Linked DNA regions of Drosophila melanogaster. The protein of the gene in region 2 interacts with the protein of the main gene of each other region in a pairwise test. Each region holds a gene or a part of one and is shown on either strand. Other genes may lie near its edges. The genes, in order: CG14401 and CG43054.

Region 1 (3,932 bases), 3.2 Mb from region 2:
GACGCGGAAAGATGGACGACGATTGTTTGTGGCATTGACGCGGCAGTGGTCCTCGCTGGGATCGTAGAGATTCCGCCGGACAACGCCAGCATGGACAGTATTGGTGAAGCAAAAACAAACACAATCTTTTGTACATAAATTGTTTTCTATCTGAATTGTTCTCAATGTGTAGTTTATATACAATATCTTGATAAATATCCATATATTTATATTTGAATGTTATTTATGTGTAGCCCAGAAGTGTTATGAATATAATCCGCAGCTAAACCCATTAAGATAATAAGCAAAGATGTTATCTGTTTGCCTACATAAAATAATTTATGCTATAAACTGGAAATAAATGTAAAACTAGAATTGTTTGACGATCAAGAAATCAATGGACTAGATATTGAAACAGAAATTGTGTGTATCGATTTGAAAGTGTTATTTTAATTTATTTTATGAATATTTTGTAATTAATGATCCTAATTGCAATACACACATACACATACTTACATACACACGCTAGTAGAGTAGGAAACGAGTAAATTTTATTCAATAAATTATATTAAATCAAACAAGTATAATTATATAAATATATATGTATGTTAAATCATTTTAGTGGATGTATAAAAACAATGGAAAGAAAATCAAATAAAATAAAAATTAAAAAATATTTGCTTCTATTTCATTCTTCTAGGGGCTTTAAGTTAAATTTATTACATATTCAGTAGGCTTTTTATAACTTAAGCCATTTGCCTTAGAAAATTAAGAATATAAGGATAAACTTTGGGTCGTTCTTGTTCTGCGCCCTTTGCATGAGTATAAGAAGTCATGTTAGTTAGTCGACCAAGAAAACAACAATCTTTTATACAATACTGGAGTATATTACTTTTAATAGGAAACATTGAAATACGACCGCCGCCGTTCCACGCGACTCATCTTCCTTAGGTCGCCAGTAGGACAAGCAGTCCGAGTATCGAAAGGGCAATGACCAAGGGTAGTGTGGATAATCCAGCGGCTGCGTTGCACAAATCCGTATCGCACAGTGTGCAGCCGAGGAAGTTCATAAAGGGCACCACAGGATCTGGTCCATCGTCGCAACTGACGCCTATTGGGGAGGCATCGCCAAAGTAACAGGAGCGCCTCACGAAGCGCGTGTCTCCTGGCACTGCGAAAAGTGAGTCATTTTATAAGGGATTTCCTTGACATATTTTCCAGAAACCATACTCGTATACTCACTTCCCTCATGGTACTTGGTAAGGCAAGTGGCCTCCGCTCCCAGGGATCGCATGTTCGCCACCACATCGCAATCCGTCGTGGATATGTCATCGCCCACAAATCGCTCCCCACACCCTGGATTATTGACGGAATCACATTCGTAGCAGGTAATGGCACGGGCTGATGACGACATCCGTAAAAATGTGTGTCCACGAGAGTGCACAGAAAGGAAAACAATGGATGAGCATTTTGGTAGACCTTATCTTTATCTTAAAGTAAACAATTAGCTTTAAAACCATTCTTAATGTTCCAAAACGTTAATTTCTTTTCAGATGTAAGTTAATTAAAATTTGTAATATAATTCTTGAACTTTTTAGACTCTATACGTAAACAATGAAATAAACAAAGAAAGCTGTTTATATGTTTTTCTTTACTGAACAGTTTCCCGCAAAACAGTCGGTAAAACCCTAAATTCACTGATTCGCAATAAATCGTGTTGACAGTCTTCTGCTTCTGAGATATTTCAAAATATGAACTACAATTTCGGGGCAGGAATGTGATGAGTGGCGGGCGCGAATCGAGAATCTCACCTGAGCTGGCCAGCGTGACGAGCAGAAAGAGCGAGGCAAGCGCTGCCATCATCGCCATCGTACCGCCCCCGAAAACAGTTGATTCCACTGTCGTCCGGCGGTCGCGGTGAGTCAGTATGGCTATAGCTATAGCTTGGCGATGCCGATACGTGCGCGAATACAGATGTTGTCTTCTCGGTTGCCGGACCGATTTTAATCACATGATAGATGCGCTATATAGCCACAAGCCGCCGACCAACGACCACCGACCACCGACCACCGACCACCGACTCGAAGCGATGCACACACGCGACTGAACTAAACAGAAACTGAACTGAACGTGCGAACAATCGCATTCAGAATGTGAATTTGATTTTCATAACAGATTTTTTCACATTTTCACTTCTCCATCGTTGGCTTTTCCCTGGCCAATGCGTGTTGACATCGTGCTCTGCCTTGCCCTACCCTGCCCTGCCATTCCCTTTGCCCTTTCCTCGCCAATCCATTTATTTCAGGCAAGGTTCATTAGTGGCATTTGAACAAATAAACAATTTGGCATTCTGTGTAAAATTAGTTTTTATTAGTTTGTATTTGGATCGTTCGAAATTTGTTTGCCAGCTTTTCGGCTCATTTCGGTGTGCTGATGTTGCTCATACGCCATGTTCGGCGTTGATTAGCCATTAATACAGTGGGCCGGGCAGATTTGGCTAAACGGTTTTGTGGATGGTGTGCTCTACTAATGTGGGCTTTACTAATTGATAGTCCTGGGCCTTGGGAATACATCTAAATTGAACTAGGTTTACTTAAGCTACTGTGCCTTTTAATGTTCATTTCACGCTCCACATTTCCACATTTCCACTTCGTCTCCTGTCGCCTCAGAGTAGTTGAGTTGCCAAGAGAAACAAGACCAGACTGCCGAAGATTTTCCATTTATCCACTGGATGATTTTCCGATCCGTTGCAGTAGTTCTCGCTGTCGCACACATGACAACTTGAGTTCTGCACCGCCGACAGGGTGGGGTCCATTTTGCACCACACATCGGTGGCATTTACCTCGCCGAAGTAGCAGCCTCTGACGATCTTACGCACGCCGTTTTCTGCAGAGGCAAAACATTGGGTTAGTCTACTTTCGGGCTGACTTATCGTAAATAAACACATTTTTTATTGTCCGTCTTTAATGGGCTTATACGAAATGTGTACGTATTGTCCAAAATATCAAGAGATTGTTGGAAAGTCTACGAGATTCTTCTGAAATAAGGTCACAGCTGTCCGTATATGCACGTATGTCTATGAATGTATGTATGACTGTTTCACATAATTAATTTTATTTGTTTTGATTTGCGTCACAAATCATTAAAGAAATTATTATCTGAAGAGTAAATACAAATCTCGGACGGACAACATTGCGAATGTTTAATGAGTATACAGACATTTACCTTTCGGAACACACTTTTTTTGTCCGCTGCTAATCGGACTGTATTTGTAATTAATGAACAATTACTTTAAAAAAATATCTGGTGGATAGATACATTTTTGGTGAATTACGATATATCCACTTTTTAATCTTATATTTCAAACTTTCTTTTCTTTTTACTATACCTATTGATTCATAACTATTAAAGTTACTATCCTAGCAAGGCTTCAAATCCGTAGGAACGTGTTTTGAGAAACATATTCGTTTAAACTCACCCTTGAATACCCGTTTCAAACAGGCCGTGGCATTCACGCTGAGCAGATCGTTCTCCAGGAATCGCGGAGGAGCAATGAAGGCGCAGTCGTATTTAAAATGGTTCTCGACTTCGAAGTCGTCGCCGCAACTAGCCTCGTAGACGGATTCGCAGGCATAGCACTTGATGGCGTAAGCTAGTGGCATTGGGATGGGAAGACCAGAGACGCGTCTTATTTATGGCAGAAATGAGATCAGGCGGGGACAGCCGACAGGTCGCGGCAAACGCAGAACTCGCAAAGCAAAGTACAAATTCGAAAGAAACAAGTCCAAACAGAACAAAAACAAACCTGAGGCCAGTAGCGAGATGAGCGCGCCAAACAAAAGTAAATAATGCTGCATTGTTGATGGGAGGAAAATCGGTTTGCCACCTTTCTCGCTGGTGATTGGAATTTGTTGTATTTGATGGTTTTATGGAAAATAATTCAAGTGGCGGGC
Region 2 (3,363 bases):
CTAAATTGGAGAGTATATATATATATATATATAGTATATATCTGGTACGCTGGGGAAATCCCCCGATGAGCGGCCATCTATGTTTGTGTATCAATGGAAACTCATTTATTTGGCGAATATTTTATAAATAATGCGGATTCGTTTTATGCCCGCCGGACTCGTTTGTTCAGAAATTTAATCAAGCCTCGGCCAGCCGTGCGGCGAAAATAATTTTCACAAATTCTTATACGCATTTCACTTGCCACACCGCCCTAGTTCAATTCCCGCCCCCTTCTACGCCCAATCTTTTTGCCGCTGGCATGCAAAGCGTTTTTTAATCCCCGGCAACTTCTGGCTGCCCGAACAAACGCATTGGCCAATTTGTGGCAAGCTGGAAAAAAGCAGGGGCCAAAGAAAATCCCAGCCGAAAATGAATAAGTAAAGCTGAAGGTTGAAGGCCATGCCACAGCCCTGTGGCAATTGCAGGAGTTGCACCACCACGAGCATTGACAAATGGGGCGAGGCCACTGGCCAGATTACTCGGCCATCTATAAGTTCAGCTGACGAGCGGAAAGTTGCTCACTTTGGGCGTCCTGGCCAAAGGGGCAGCAATTATCATAATGAGTGTGACAGCTGAAAATATAAGAAATTTATCGATGACTTGCCAGGTAAATTAATCACAATAAAGGAAATATTTAATGAATTCTAGTCAGAAGAAATTACATTTTGATTTAAAAAAGAAAAAACATATTTCTTGCATATAACTAGACTTCATATATAATTATAATTATAATTTTTATATACATATATATAGAAAATTCAGTTAACACAACTTCAAAGTAGATTTGATTTTAAACAAGTACAGCAATTTGTTCCTTTCTTTGGGTGATCAATTTGGCTGGCCTTGTGGATTGGTTGGGCTTTTGGTTTTTCAGCTTCACAAATGTCGAAATCGAAACGCTTTGGCACTTTGGCGGTCTTTACCTTTGTTATCACACACTGAAATGCGAAACAAAATGCAAATAGTATGACTATTATGCAGCCGATACACACAAGAATTATGGGGACTTTCCACAACATTTCTTCTTCTACAACATTTCTGGACTTCAGGTTTTTCTTTATGAAACTATAGCACTCATCTGCGCTCATCAGGCCAATTTCGTATTTACGCTTAGCTTTGACTGTTTGAAGATTGGGAAAAAACTTTAAGCGACTTTCCTCGCATATATTATTGAACCAATTCATTTCGTCTCAGTATTTTTAGAAGTACAAAAATAAATTTGATTTCCAATGTCGATGAATTTATCAGTGACAATTGGTGCTTTGTTATTTTTTTTTTTATTTATCTGAGTGGTAATAGCTTTGACTTAACTGATGCTGAATCCATAAAAACATGCATACATACTAATATGCACCCAATCTTAATCCTTTTAATAGTAAGCCTTTTTTTAATATAATACATACCAATATGCATCCAATCTTAATCTTTTTTATACTAAGCCTTTTTTATGTAATACCATTTGACCCCTTTAGAAATAGAATTCGAGTAAGCTCCCATAAATCTTGAGTTTTAAATTTCTTGACATTCACTAAGCCCAAAATTGAAAGGCGAAGGCAAATGTTTGCGATAAACTACCTGAGCAACTTAAAGCGAAAGTCGAGGGCATTCCCATGACTATTTGTTGGGTATTTTGCCAACACAAACTAAGTATGTTGATCCAATCAGAGGGAGCAGAAGAGCCGTATCCAAGACCCCAAACCCCAAGACATGGTGAATATATTTTCCCAGGGATTTGCGGCGGGATTCGAATTTGGATTCAAGTCGTAGTCGTCGTGTTCGTCGTCTGTCAACTGTCATCGGCTGTGGGTCGGTGGCTCACGTTCCGACCTCTAACCCTTGGTTATTATCATGTGGCCGGGACTTACATTTATTTATTTCCATATTATTCGAGAAGCAGCGGCGCTGCTCTACTTTCAATAACTGTGAATAAGACCGAATGAATGAACTGGCTAACCTTGCCGCTGGCTCGACACTCGGTGGCTGTGGCTCAGTGGGTGGTGCTGGGAAATGAGGCGCTCGACTTTTCCTACGCTGCTTTGTGTTCGGTTTATTAAAATATACATTTTCCTTTTTTCATTTGGCTTCCTTTTTGTGCGCTGTATTCTATTTGGCCGTGCCTGTGCGTTTGGCATGCTCTGCTCTTTACTCTTTAGCCTGGTAAATTTTGCAGAAAAAATCTTCTTTATTTTCTTTTTTTCACGTCGCCGCAGGTCAAAATGTCAGCAAAAACTGGACAATATACTAGACGTACAGTAATTACTAGAAAATTACGGATTTTTTGTCCACTTTTCAAATTAATTACTCATCACATTGCATTTGCCATAGAATGCACTTTCTCTTGAAACACATTCTCGCAAATTGCATGATACTCGTACATAGATGAATGCCCACTTTTTGTCATTCTGTATGAATATAGCTTTCACTTTTGATCGGAAATAACTCTTATGTACTTTGTATATCTCATTTCGTGTCTTGTTACCTCTATCTAAAGACCACTGTATAGCTCTGTTGGTTGATTTAATTTTTGTATTTATTTTAAGGCTTGCGGCTTTTGCATATTTCATGCGCATTTGCATGTTCTTTTTGCGAGCCTGCTTCGTCCTCGAAGATTTATTTGTCAGATACGCTCTTTTATTTGATTTATGAGGGCGCCCCATATCCTCCATCGGCCAGGTTATCTGGTCGCCGATAAGCTGGAGGCTTGAAGCTGCCCAGGAGAATTGTGTCAAACCTCTGAACCCCAGATTCAGCTCCTCGACCGGGATTGTCTCCCACATCCTGCCATGCCTGCTGCTCGCTGAAGTCCGTGGTCTGTGGTCCGCCCAAGATTTCCACCTGTTTACCTGTGTCCATCTGCCTCCCAGAGATGCCCGACAAAAGGCCACTGGATCCACTCCAGCCGGTGCTCTACATTGACCACTGCCGTTATCGTCAAACTTATCGCAAGCGAGCCCTGCACCTCCATTCTTCGCTGGCGGAGGCTCTGAGGGCCATTCAGCCAAGGGTTAAGCTCCAGCTAAGGATCAACGACAAAGGCCCGCCCGAAGATGGATCCTTTGAGGTTGCTATTGCTCCGCAACCAACCGATGATTCCACGGCCCGTCAAAGTGTATGGACTGGACTAAGGCGGATGCCCAGTGCATCGAAGGTTCCCCATGTGGACGACATTCTCACCCCAGTTTGTTTCGCCCTCAAACTGAGGGATCCGCACAAGGAATCACATCGGCGGATGCTAACCAATTTGCGGCACAACGAAGGCAGTCGACCAAGGACGAGGACTATAAAAAATGTGTTAAATAATACCTAGTAAATATTACAATAAT

The links.
Region 1: the proteins of CG43054 (region 2) and CG14401 interact in a two-hybrid assay, tested with the Drosophila melanogaster proteins (one large-scale study listed by BioGRID).

What each region holds. Positions count from the first base shown.
Region 1 is NT_033779.5:20,868,050-20,871,981, reverse strand, and holds CG14401 (uncharacterized protein), read right to left. Parts: upstream 2,129-3,932; 5' UTR 1,849-2,128; coding exon 1,635-1,848; intron 1,381-1,634; coding exon 1,222-1,380; coding exon of another isoform or gene 1,210-1,221; intron 1,151-1,209; coding exon 927-1,150; 3' UTR 510-926; downstream 1-509. Other genes in the region: CG31675 (uncharacterized protein), read right to left, coding at 2,645-2,865, 3,458-3,631, 3,785-3,836.
Region 2 is NT_033779.5:17,625,762-17,629,124, reverse strand, and holds CG43054 (uncharacterized protein), read right to left. Parts: upstream 1,267-3,363; 5' UTR 1,225-1,266; coding exon 814-1,224; 3' UTR 736-813; downstream 1-735. Other genes in the region: CG15147 (uncharacterized protein), read left to right, coding at 2,907-3,347.